Oryzias latipes: one gene and its partners. The protein of the gene in region 3 interacts with the protein of the main gene of each other region in a pairwise test. Links are inferred from orthologs where the notes say so. Each region holds a gene or a part of one and is shown on either strand. Other genes may lie near its edges.

Evidence for each region.
Region 1: the proteins of vti1b (region 3) and tyrosine-protein phosphatase non-receptor type 5 interact in binary tests that used the Homo sapiens proteins (3 or more experiments, as listed by UniProt). The two-hybrid records come from large-scale screens. The link is inferred for Oryzias latipes from reciprocal best matches to the Homo sapiens genes VTI1B and PTPN5.
Region 2: the proteins of vti1b (region 3) and trim59 interact in binary tests that used the Homo sapiens proteins (3 or more experiments, as listed by UniProt). The two-hybrid records come from large-scale screens. The link is inferred for Oryzias latipes from reciprocal best matches to the Homo sapiens genes VTI1B and TRIM59.

What each region holds. Positions count from the first base shown.
Region 1 is NC_019864.2:31,280,918-31,285,391, forward strand, and holds the start of tyrosine-protein phosphatase non-receptor type 5, read right to left. Parts: upstream 2,841-4,474; 5' UTR 2,813-2,840; coding exon 2,546-2,812; intron 2,289-2,545; coding exon 2,166-2,288; intron 2,071-2,165; coding exon 1,975-2,070; intron 1,842-1,974; coding exon 1,597-1,841; intron 1,207-1,596; coding exon 1,014-1,206; intron 610-1,013; coding exon 525-609; intron 398-524; coding exon 318-397; intron 227-317; coding exon 89-226; intron 6-88; coding exon 1-5. UniProt on the Homo sapiens protein: May regulate the activity of several effector molecules involved in synaptic plasticity and neuronal cell survival, including MAPKs, Src family kinases and NMDA receptors.
Region 2 is NC_019871.2:13,509,642-13,513,619, reverse strand, and holds the start of trim59 (tripartite motif-containing protein 59), read left to right. Parts: upstream 1-1,178; 5' UTR 1,179-3,033; coding exon 3,034-3,288; intron 3,289-3,360; coding exon 3,361-3,579; intron 3,580-3,812; coding exon 3,813-3,978. UniProt on the Homo sapiens protein: E3 ubiquitin ligase involved in different processes such as development and immune response. Serves as a negative regulator for innate immune signaling pathways by suppressing RLR-induced activation of IRF3/7 and NF-kappa-B via interaction with adapter ECSIT.
Region 3 is NC_019880.2:1,875,736-1,880,171, reverse strand, and holds the start of vti1b (vesicle transport through interaction with t-SNAREs homolog 1B), read right to left. Parts: upstream 2,986-4,436; 5' UTR 2,778-2,985; coding exon 2,681-2,777; intron 1,756-2,680; exon of another isoform or gene 1,733-1,755; coding exon of another isoform or gene 1,693-1,732; coding exon 1,634-1,692; intron 876-1,633; coding exon 678-875; intron 604-677; coding exon 430-603; intron 1-429. Other genes in the region: retinol dehydrogenase 12, read left to right, coding at 4,025-4,239. UniProt on the Homo sapiens protein: V-SNARE that mediates vesicle transport pathways through interactions with t-SNAREs on the target membrane. These interactions are proposed to mediate aspects of the specificity of vesicle trafficking and to promote fusion of the lipid bilayers.

The DNA of each region.
Region 1 (4,474 bases), on a different chromosome or scaffold from region 3:
CATTTCTGAGAAAGTCACACAGCAGATTTTCACTTTTCCAGCTCAAAGCTCCTCTTCGCCCTCCTCATCTTTGCCACCGAAGACACACCTCGTTCTTCTCGTCCAAGTTGGTGATCATCACGATGATTGGACTTCTCTCCTGCCACACCATCCTCCAGAAGTCCCCCACCGTGTTCACAGTGGGACCCTGTGTGGCGATGTAGGCCTGCTCCTCGCCCCCGTAGCCCTGCAACACGGCGACAGAAAGCTTTTAGAACGACGTGAGAGCAAAGAGCGAGGCCCTGACCCCTGAGCACAGATCAGAAAGGGCCACTTACATTCAGATAGTTTGCATTGATGTAGGTGGACAGAAAGTCCTCTTCGTCCTGTGACTTCAGGATGACTCTGCTGTGCGTATCTGTGGAGAAGTCATGAATGAAGTTTGAATTCTTCTCTGGTTCAAATCTTTGGAGACACGTTTGAGCGCTTCATGCCAGGGGGATGGGCTCTATGCTTTCAGACTGCCAGCACATTGTTGCACTTACTGGGTAAGATAGTTTTGTAGCGGTTCTTTCTCACCAGCCCGGGGTAATTGTACTCCTTAGGGTCCACAAAGTTCATGGGAGTTTCCTGTTAGAACACAAGGAAGAGTCAGAGCTGAAAAGTCTGCATAATGTCCAGGGATTGGCCCAAGGCAAACGCCAACAGATCGCCATCCAGCGGCCTTCACTCCAAACCCTTTCTGTGCTAATTGTGAATGACTTCAGGGCTTCTGATGATGTTTGGCGATCTCATTCATCGTGCCTCCCAGACAGTGGAATCCTCCGTGGGTTTATTGTGTACAAATGCGCGTCTCCTTCCACGCTTCGCCCACTGACAGACGCTGGAAAAGCTTCAGGGTGTGTGCAGAGCTCTGACCATGGGCTCTGACAAGCGTTGGTGCATGTGTGGGCGTGTGCATTAGTGCCTGAGTCTGTGTCGGAACCGCTGCGTGTCTCCTAATCTGATGTGTAGGATGCCGCGGTGCCGCTCACATAGAACTCCGCCTGCAGGCTCTGGTCATCCATGGCCCTGCTGTGCAGCATGGCGGGGGTCAGGACGTGCGACCCCTCCCGGAGGTACTCCTGAGCCGACTGGTCCCTGGGAGACAGCTGCGCTCCGTATCCGTAGGGCTCGGTGCAGCCCGGCGTGCACATGTCCAAGGTCAGGGAAACGTTGGAGCCTCGTCTGCAGGAGTCAGAGTTGGTGGGAACAAGGAATCGATCTGTTAGAAGCACATCTGCATTCACAGAAGGATGAAAAACGGCATTTCCTGTCAGCAGGTCGAGGAAGATGCTGGAACATGATGAAGCTCCAGAAGGAGTTCGGAGGCCGAACCAAACCACTGACGGAGATTTTTATCAGGAATTGGAGAAAAACGGAATAACTGGGATCAAATTGTAAAGAACTAACAGCCGTAAATAAAGTTATTATGATGAACAGGTGTAGTTCAGTGTGTTCTCTATGGAGGAAGGACCTCCACAGAATTTAGAGTCAGAAACGGCTGAAGTTTGCTGAAACTTTCATGTTAAAGAAACATTTTTCAAGCATTCTTCTCAGTTCCTGGTTCTCGCTGACCTCTCCTGTAGCCCCACGGGCGTCACTGTGAGGGTCGCGGCATCGCCATCCGCCCTGTGCTCCGAGTCAAAGACCGGAGTCTGAGGCTCAGCCTCCACATCCAGCAGATCCTCCTGAGCATCCGTCCACTCGGACAGCGTGAAGGAGGGCTGGCGGCTCACAGACTGCCGGCGGTCACCCATCTCTCTGGACACCATGTCTGTGGACCACAGTCCAGAACGCCACTTACACGCCATGTGGACGACCTGAGCATGGGTGCAGAGAAGACAGGAGGTGAGGCTTCATTACAGCATGGAATACCTAAAAACCCTCCAGGACCCGAGTCCAAGTGGAGAACAGCACCAAAGAAGCCGTTTTGAGGGTCCACCACAGTCGTACCATGAGGATGCAGATGGCTGCTCCGATGCCCAAGGTTCCCTGGACGATCCACTTGTGCTGCTTGGTGTTCGCCACCTCCTTCATCATCATCACAGACTGAGCAGAGCAGAGAAGCAGAAGGTTACAAACAGCTCATGGTGGACTCCTGTCTGAGGATGGGGGGTGAAGGGGGGGTTCAAAGTGACACTTACGTCCAACCCAAAGATGCGCTGGAAAGGCAAGAGGAAGCCAAAGTAGAAGTCAATGACGTGTAGGGCTTTATGGATGGAAGAGAGGGGGCCGTTTCCTTCCAGGAGGAAAAACACACAGTAACCCTGGAAACATGGCGGGGGGGGGGGGGGGGGGGGGGGGCAGTTTGAGCTAAAGTTTTGCAGCACCAATAATCGAGCAGACGCTCTGAGGTCGGGAGGAGACACACTGAAGCCTACTCCTGCAGCAGTGAGCAGTGTCGTCCTTCTCGTTTTTACATACAAAGACGCCAAAATAAAAGCTACAGCAGGAAGATCAAAGCTTTTATACTGAAGGAACTTCCTCCTCCTCATTTTACAAAGAGCAAACCCTGGTTACCTACCACAACTTGTGAGCTGATGAAGAGTGCAGCCCAGCAGTGGATCTCAACCACCAGAGCGAACACCTTCTGCAGGAAGGCCTCCTTTCCCTGTGCGCCGTCCCCCGGTGGTCCATCAGTGCCGTCCGTCAGCCCCTCGTTCTTCAGGACCCCATCACTCACTTTTTCTATCTTGGTGGGTTCATCCAGCCAGACGGGATCTTCATCCGGCTTCAGAAAGATGGAATCCTCAGTGTGCGAGCGAGTGGAGCTGCTCAGGCGGCGGGTCATGGTCCTCCGGTTCAGTGAGGTTCCTCCGTGTCAGGTGACCACTCTAGCTGATCTTCCGCCTCTGGGATGGCGTGTGGCATCGGATTGAAAAACTCTGAAGCACAGAGACATGAAGGTCTGAGATCTGACCGTCACGCTGGTCGTGGTTTGGATTCGAGGTTCCTCTGAAGTGTGTGCATGCTGCAACTCTCACCTTCACTCCTGCTTTTGAGTTTTAGCTACAGCTGTGTGGGATTCTGGTGTTGTGCGATTGTGTCTGAGTGTGTGTGTTTGTGTGTAGATGTCAAAAAGGGTCCGCTGCCTTTATATTCCTGCTCTGATCCACAGCTAAACAACCTGAAGAGGCTCTCATCTCCGGATCTTCAGGTCGCCCTTTGATCAGCCTCTATTCTATGTGTGTGTGTGCACGTGTGTGCATATGTGTGTACATGTCTGCGTGCATGCATGTGCATGTATGTGTGTGTAAAGAGACTGTGTATTGTGGAAAAATGAATCAGAGATAGTGTGTTTACAGCCTGGTCCGTCACCTTGGCAACAGAGTGGCTCTCATCCATCCTGAGCATTATCATCCACTGACACACACGCGCATGTGCACACACACACACACACACACTTCTGGTTTACCAAGCTGAGTGTTCACAGTCCTCTCCTGCTGCCTCATTTGTCCTCCAACTATTAATAAAGGTGTTTTGCAGATTGGGCTGATCACTGGGAACGTGTGAAAGCTTTTGTGATAACAGACCCGATTTCCCTCAGAAGAACTACGATGGCTCACCGGTGAGGGACGCCAGCGAAGGTTTCGAGTCAGATCACATGATCAGGCGGAGTCCTGCAGGTCGCAGCAGCTGGTTGAAGTCCGCCATTGTGAGTCGTTCCTAAAGGACACAAAACAGGAAGTCCACCTCTGAGCTTCACCACAGCCAGAGCGCTGGAACAACGGCGTGAGCCTGATGAAAGGACGGATCCAGCTCCTCTGAGGCGGCGCTGCAGATCCAGCTTCCCTGAGCTTCCTCTCTGCCTCGTCTTCCTCCTTCTTCTAACAGGAGGATGAGTCAGGCCGGACTTCATCCGGCGCCTCAGAGACAGATTCCTCCAGTCACATCAGCGTTCACACAGTCCGGCCTTTCTGCTCGGTCCTTCTGGACCCTGATGGAGGAGCTCACCGGAGCAGAGACCCACCAGCAGCACCGGATCTGTGTGTGTGTGTGTGTGTGTGTGTGTGCGTCCAGGGGAGAGCGGCTTCTCTGCTTTTCCTCCTCTCCTTTCTGATGACGCCTGTTGGCCCGGCTCGTAGCCATGGTGACGTGAATACATGCAACATAAATAAAGTGAACAGGCGGACGCGCACATGGAGGACAGGTTGAGTTCTGGAACTGAAGGTCCAGTGAGCTTCCAGCTCCAAACAAAAGGCAGATGGAGGGAAGAGAGGAAAAGCTACTGCGCTTTTGAATGTGAAGGTTGTCTAAAGCCGTGACGTAGTGAGGTTGGCGTTTTGGTAACTGTGGCAACAGACACTCAATAGAGCACACACACACACACACACTCTCATACAAACACACAGCAGCGATGTGGAGCTGTGACAACATTCAGGTTTGTCAAAAAGAAGCAGTGGTCTCTGCTTTTGGAGGTAAATATGCTTCAGGCTCTGCGTGTCGGTTCAGT
Region 2 (3,978 bases), on a different chromosome or scaffold from region 3:
ATATTTTCCGTTTCAGCTTTTAGTTTCACTGCTTCTGTAACAGTGACTTGATGACGATTGTATTACACCTCTCCACCAGAACCTGAAGCACCGGACTTTGGGCTCTGAAATTCTGACACCATAAACCCTAATCAACCAAACGATCTGTTCCTCCTGTAACTTCCTCTTTTTATCATTTAAGTTTTACAGCAAAAATCACAGCTTGCAGTATTGTTGCCATAGCTTTGATTATCACCGAGGGAGAATAGAACAACAGCCTTGTCACATAGGATTGTTAATCATAACCTTTGCATGTACTAAACTATAGCACAGTTCTTTTTAGGGTATTTTAGTTTCCTTAGACTGTGGTAACAGTGTAATTTTTCATTTTTAAGTAAAACTGTGCTTAGATGTTACATGTTTACCCTTCCCTTAGTCTATGCTAGTGTCCAGTTTGCAAAATAATCTGTATGGTTTTGCACATCATTCTGCAAAGTGAGGCCTGAAATCTTTCTGGGGTTTACCTGCAAACGTTCTCCGGATTATGCGGCGCAACCCCGGCTTTTGATTTTTCTAGACAGATCCATCGATCCCTTTTCGTGATACTTGAGAGAACATTAACTTTATTTCAGGAGCAGCAGGAATTAATCTGCTAATGTATATCAATTAAAGAGGGACTCAAAAGTCCTTTTTCTTGTGGTGTCCCAAATGCAGACTGGAGTTGTTCTTTGTGGGTTTCCCTAAATAATATATAAACTGGCAAACAAATTTGCTGTAACATGAGTACCCTGCAGTCCCCCTCTTTCTTCCTCTTACCAGCTAGGTGTACAAGCTTACCCCCCCCTTTTCAGTTTTTGTTACCTTGATACACTGTAGTGATGATTACACATTGTGCTCACGATCCTTCTGTTTAAACATAGTTTTTTTTCCTTCCTTTTTTTTCATTTGGTTTTGCAGCATTCCTTGTTAGCAAACGTGGTTTCAAATCTAAAACTATTGAAGGAAAAAAATAAAATGCGGCTTTGCCTGAGAACAAGTTTTTTGGGAAAGGCTGCAGGATGGGTTATCTTCAAGAAAATAAATGGTGAAACCCTGAGTGACTGCGTGTGTGTGCTCTGTTGGTGGAGAGGCGCCTGCGTCTGAAGTTCGGTTCAAATCGGTGACGGCGCCTGCTGATTGGCCAGAGAGACAGTTTGTTCGCATGCGCAGTTTCGTGGTGCATTTGGAAACTGTCAAAAAATTGTTTATCTTCTGTTGTTTGTACTTCCAAAAGTAAGATGTACCCAAAATCAGAAATATTTTTAGTATATTTCGTATTTTAAATAATTTTTGCATAGGTTTGTGCTGCTAAAATTACGCGTGCTTCCGTGTCTCTATCCGCAGCTTGTATTTAGGAGGGATTTATTCTAAGTGTCCCTGAAGGCAGCACCGGTAGGAACAGGAAAAGGGAAGCTCAGACGGACACTTTCCTTCTGAAGTGACGGTGAGTCTGAAACAAATAATTTCCTTACGAAAACATTGTTTACGCCATCACATCTAACAGGCGAACAAGACAAAAAACATTTCCGAGCTGACACTGAAGTAACATGATAGCTTTGCTAGCAGTGCTAAGTTAAAAGGATTTGAACTTGTTTTGGTAATTGCGAGCACAAACATTCCTGATGCTAGACTAGTGTTTTTAAAATGAGCTAAAAGTAAAGCTAGGCACGACGTGTTCACGTCCATTTGAACCGCGGCGCCAACTTTGTCCCAGTTTCCACGCACGGATCATGTTGAGCAGACTGTCCGGACTGAGGTGCTGGGACGGGGTGGCAGCTGGCATCGAGGCCGCTATTGTTCCTGCTCTGGCGGCTGTAACAGGAGCAGAGACGGTCCTCCTGATCCCCACACAACACGATGATGAGAGCCAGCAGAAAAGCTCAGAGGCCAAACCTTTAGAAACAAGACATTCAATTTCATTTAGCAAATAAATAGTAGAGCTCTCACATTTCCCTTTTGAAGGATTGAGCTCCATCTAGTCAATGTTTTTTTTTTTAATTATTTCTCTTTGAGTAATGACTGATAATGGCTGACAAATTAATCGAATGGGTTATGATAAGATTTACATTTCAATACATATTTTTCTCGCTGCTCTTTTTACCTTCTCATTTGGGTCTTCATCATTTATATTTCTCAGATTGCGCTTGTTTAGATTAAAATAAATATATTCCTTTATTTTAGGAATTTCCTGGAGATTTTAACTGTCCAGCCCAAAATGAAAAACAATTCCCTGTAGTTTGTATGTTGTTTTATTGAAATTGGACTGAAGGCATTTTAGAAAGTCTAGATCAGTGGTTTAGAACCAGCAGCTCTAGAGCCTCTAGTTCAACTCATTGATAAACAGTTGAAGGACAGTACGTATCACAAGTCAAACTAACGTATGGACAGATTTTTGAGCGCCACATATTAAAAAAAAATCAATTGGAGGTCAGTAAGCAGTACTGGAATAAATAATTTACTGCTGACATGACACTACCTACGACTAAATTAGCTGCATTGAGATGATCCTTATAGTACATGGAGGCTTTTATTTTGAAAGAAAGTATTGGGAACCTCTGTTTAAAGTTAACTCAAAGAAACGGCTATTTCCTCTGTGTTTTGTGTTCTTTTCTATTTATCATAATGACAACATAAATACAAACCTGTGTCTTATTTTTCCAAAGGGTGAATGAAGTAAGACCTTGTGGCTCCTGCTTGATAGTGGTCAGTAAGAAATCAACCAGAATTATTTAAAAATTTTTGGTTGAATGAGTTTCAATTTTTACAAGTAAAGGGACTAAAAAGTCTTTATTGCATTACCCTTCTTGATGGTCTAAAATACTTTATTTTTATTTTATTTTCAGATAATCCGATGACATAAAAAGTGTCATGGTGCTTCAAAATAAAAGAATTAATCATATGTTTGCTTTGATGCTTTATTTCCGTTGTGCGATGCGCTGTTTTCTTTCCGTTCTCCTGACTTTCCAGACTTCCCTTCCAGGCCTGCAGTCCTAATCCAGGCCTCCCGTCTCTGTCATGGACAGCCTGGAGGAGGACCTGACCTGCTCGGTGTGCTACCAGTTGTTCTCCGACCCGCGGGTCCTCCCGTGCTCGCACACCTTCTGCCAACCTTGCCTGGAGAACCTGCTGCAGGTGTCCACCAACTATTCCATATGGCGCCCGCTCCGCCTACCAATCAAATGCCCCAACTGTCGCAGCGTGGTGGAGCTGCCCCCGGCGGGCGTGGACGCCCTGCCCAGCAACGTCTCCCTGCGGGCCATCATTGAAAAGGTGTGGAGGAGTTTTGTGCCTCGGTGGGACGTTTCAATTTTAACGTTCTTTTTCTGTTTTGGGGGCTATAAGTACCAGCGAGATGAGGAGCCACGCCCCCCGTCCTGCCAGGAGCACCCCAGACAGCCCCTCAACATGTACTGCATCCAGGATCGCCAGCTGATCTGCGGGCTGTGTCTGACCGTCGGGCAGCACCACGGCCACCCCATAGACGACCTGCAGGCCGCTTTCGCCAGGGAGAAGGCCACTCCCCAGCAGCTGGCCGAGCTCTCCGAGCACAGATGGGCTGAGGTGGGCGGGGCTTTCATGGCGGAGTGGTTAGATCTGCAAGATTATGGCAAAATGTATCCAAAACATTCAACATTTTGGGGAAAAAGCTTGAAATAATCCAAAATGCTGATGAATTTCTGACTGACAGGCTCCCGCGCGAACCTGTCAGTCAGAAATTCATCAGCATTTTGGATTTTTTCATAACAAAAGCTAGAATAGAGACAGTTTGAACGTGCGGTTGTGTGAATTTTAAGGTTTGTGAGCTGGGGGAGCAGCTGGAGCAGGAAAAAACCCGATGCGAGGGTTTGCTGAGACAGGACCGGGACGACGTGACCCAGTTTTTTCACTCCCTGGCGTTGGTAATGGCCAAAAAGAAAGAGGCTTACCTGGAGGTTCTGGACAAAGCTGCTGCTGAGGTGT
Region 3 (4,436 bases):
GGAACACGAGGAGGAGGAAGAAGAGAAGGAGGAGGAGAAGGAGGAAAGGAGGAGGAGGAGGAAAGGAGGAGGAGGAGGAAAGGAGGAGGAGGAACACGAGGAGGAGGAGGACAAAGAGGAGGAGGAGAAGGAAAGGAGGAGAAGGAAAGGAGGAGGAGGAAAGGAGGAGGAGGAGGAGGAGGAGGAGGAGGAAGAGGAAGAGGAGGAGGAAGAGGAAGAGAAGGAGAAGGAGGAAAGGAGGAGGAGGAGGAAAGGAGGAGGAGGAACACGAGGAGGAGGAAGAAGAGGAGGACAAAGAGGAGGAGGAGAAGGAAAGGAGGAGGAGGAAAGGAGCAGGAGGACAAAGAGGAGGAGGAGAAGGAAAGGAGGAGAAGGAAAGGAGGAGGAGGAAAGGAGGAGGAGGAAAGGAGGAGGAGGCGGCGGCCTCACTCTGTCTCTGGTTCGGTCCAGCTGCTCCCTCTGCCCCCCCAGCTCTTCGATGATGTCTGTACCGATCTGCTCCGTCTCCACGGCGATGCGCTGGCTGCGCTCGATGCTCTGCGTGGCGTTGTTCAGGTAGTCCGTCCCCTGAAGCAGCAGCGACCTCTGCGACTGCAGGTGTGTCTGCACCCCCCAGGGACAAACAGGAAGTCAGGAGGTTTCCAGAACACCTGTGAGGCGTGAAGGTCCACACTCACACTCTGCTGGTTCTCGGGTGAATAGAGGCCCTGGCGGTCGCCGTGAGACGTCAGGGGGGCGGGGCCGAAGCCGGGAGCAAAGGTTTTCATGTCCCTCTGCAGTTTGCCGATGTCTCTGCGGTACAGACGCAGCTTGGTGCTCATGGCGTTTCTGTAGGACGCCGGCGCCGCACGGAGCTCGTCCTCCATGCCCTGCAACTGTGAGAGAAAATCCAAGTCCATTTGATCAAAAAGATGGATTTTAGCGTCTGAAACGACTATAGAAACGCCGACAAGGTTCAAGAAAAATGGAATTATTAACTCTTCAGTTAAAAAAGAAATTACACCTGAGACATGGCAACCATTAATGGATTATTTCTATAGACAAGTCAACCTCTACTTGAACATTTAATTGTAAAATCTGCAGGGTATTTGTTTGTTTTGTTGTTCTTTGCTTTTCTTTTTTTTGGTATTGTTTGCTGTAAAAAATAAAAATAAAAAAGAGGGGAAAAAACAATAAAACATTTTTTTCTTTTATTTCAAATGAATGAAAAGAACAAAAAGAAATTTAAAATAGAAAACTAAACTTAAAGCTGCATGCAAACCATGTAACCATAATCACACTGTTCATTTCAAATAAATGTAAAAACAGTATGAAAAAAAGAAATTAAAGGTTAATCAGCTGATAAACGCACAATGACTTCATGTGAAACTAGAAGCTCGTTTTCCCTCCAACAGGAAGAGATGAACAAAATTTGATCAAATATTCTTATTTTTGTGTGTGAAACGCAACCAAATATTTGAACTTTGACTTCAAGTCTTCGCTGGTTCTTGACTGTAGCACCAAAAACCCCAGTTTGATTTTTTCAAAGCCTTTTTTAAAAATTAATATTTAATAATGAATGTGCCATCTGTTGTGTTTAACCGCAAAATGACTCCATGAATGTGAGCCGTCAGGAAGGAGGACATCTGCTTACCACCTCCTCAGCCTCTCCCTGCCGCTCATCGAAGCTCCTCACCAGCCTCTTCCTCTCCTCTGCAGACCAGAGCACACAGGTTACAGAGGCTCCTTCCATCCATCCATCCTTTCAAACACCCACTGCCATGAAAACGATGGGGGACATGTATAACATGTAGCTTATAACTGCCTTTCTGAGTAATTCTTTATTCAAATCGTTGTGAATCGGGAGCGGACGGAAAAAAAAGCAGTTTGAAAAACGTATATTTGCGATGTGTTGCACCTGTAACGTCAGGTTGAGGGTGTGAGAGGCTGTAAGCAGGAGAGCGTGTAAACAGACGGGTGACGGGAAGTGGGGGTGGGCTTACTCCTGCCGACAGTCCCGCCCACAACTCTGACGCAAATTTCTAACAAACTGCTGTCCTAGAAAACGACACAGCTTCTTGGCTAAATAAAAAAAAACATGATCATAATTTAAGACGACTTTGGAAATAGATCAAAAGATGATCAGAGTGAGATTTTGTTAGTTTTATTCATTCATAACCCAGGAGACGTACAGTAAATAATAAAGACCATTACCTTGTACATCAATTATAAACACCAGAGGGATAAATATACAAAAATAAAGTTATATGAAATGACAAACCTGAGCAAAATGACAAGTATGAATTGCTTCTTTGTTTGTATTGGGGGAAATGGATTGTTAGTAAAATCTAATTTAAGTCGATCAATCAAAACAATTGGGAGCTTTATTGCTAAATTTAGTTTTGTGAATAAAATACTTAGTAAAATCAGGAGATTCGTTAAATCAAATTAAGACGAATGTTTATTATCATAATTAATGAAACCAAATAAGATGTTTTTTCCATGCAAGTCCCAAAAAATATGCATCAACAACGTTTCCTCAAATGAAAACAGAAAGAACAGTTTTTCTGTTTTTAGCCTTTGCATAAACTGATTTGTTGGATGAAACCTATGAATGATCTTGAATGAAACCTCTTTCACTTTGTTTTTTAGTGAGATTTTAAGAACACAATGAGCAACAAAGAACATGATCCTCGTTTACCTCCGTGACATTTCGCGGCTCTGTCAGGAATTAACTTCAGCTCCTCGTACAAAGATCTGTAGATTTCCTGCAACTTCTCGAATTCCTCCGACGACATTTCTCAGGGATCAACCCGGATAGTTCCTCCTGAATACAGTTATTATTGCTCCTCCTGAATATAGATATATTCAAGAGTCTTAAAAGGTTTTTTTGTAGGTGGAAAGGTTAAGATAATCTGTTTGTTTTGCTTCCTTCATCATCAGAACCCGGGATTCTTCCGCATGATGGTCCTCGTGACCAAAAGGACTAAAATTCCGTAAAAGAATGAAATAATCGGTTGTGTTTTACACATTTAAAAATTAAAATAGTGTTAAAGATACCATTTTAAATTTATTTTTTATGAACTGTATCACACAATATTGCTTATCGGAATTTTAAAAGGGAAAAGAGTAAAGATTTCTAGTCAGGCAGTTAAATAGACACCTAACATTGGCTCCAGGGGAAATTGGGAAGTGTAGTTTATTGATTTCGTTAAACAGAAGAGTTCTAAATTGAATCTTTAGTTACAAGAAAGAAAATGTTTTGATTTAAATTTATGTGTACAATTAAAATTAAATTAGATGCGATTTCTATAATTCAATTTTTGCAACTGATTCAAATAGGCCTACTGGTATATGTGTTACTCAACTTACTATTATTTTAATAAATAAAAGGATATTTGTAAAAATAAAATAAAACCTTCACTACAAATTGAGTTTTTGTGCTGAAAATGCATTTTTAGTTTTTAAAAAGTTAATATTATTTGAATGTTTTATCTTATTTTGTTCGAGGACAACGTATAATAATGCAATAGATATTCTAAATAAATGTTATACAGAAATAACCAGAGGCAGCTTTCAGTTTTATGAAGTGATAACGGCAACTTAAATGGTAATTGATTCTAGTGATAATAATAATAATTGTTCAAATGATAATAAATCATATAAATGTATATACATTTATTTAAATTTTTTTTGCAAAATATAAGGCTGTGGGAGGATTTAGATTTAGCTGTTGTGTTTATATGTTTTTGTCTTTTTTTCCAATTTCTTTTACAAAATTCAATCTACAATAATTGACATTTTTCCATGTTTTACTTCGAATTCTGGCATTACATTTCTTAAATTAAACTATAGTTTTGTATTCCTTTATAATGAACCGTTTCTCACTCATCCTTTACGATTTTTCTTACTGTTTTTTAAACACATTTAGTTTGTATATATATCTTTTGGCATTCATTCTAATCTTTCCTGCTGCTACGTGAAATTAAAAAACAACATTTTTTTTGTATTTGACCTCCAATGTAAAGGACTACAAAACACAACAATGACTACAATCCCACAATCCTTTGCACGTGCGCTCTCGGTGCCGCTGCGCCCCTCCAGCCCTGACATCAGCTGCTCAGCCCCGCTCTGCCCACACATCCCTGACGTCCGGCCGGAGGCAGAGGCCCGTGGAAGCGCTCAGATGTGGGTCTTGGTGATCATCGCGGGGATCGGGGTGGTGACGCTGCTGCTGCTGCTGTTCGCTCCGCACATACGGTGAGCTGCAGCGGGGACCCGCTGTCCCCCCATCGCGGTACCTGCACTGCTGTGACGTCATCAGCACGGAGGCTGGCTTTGCTTTTTAACCCCAGAGGTGTTTATTTGAGTCAGCCGCTTTGATTTCGGTGTGAGTTTTGTCTCAAATCCGCTAAACGGTGACGGAATTTTGAGTGAATCAGAAAAACGTTTGAGCA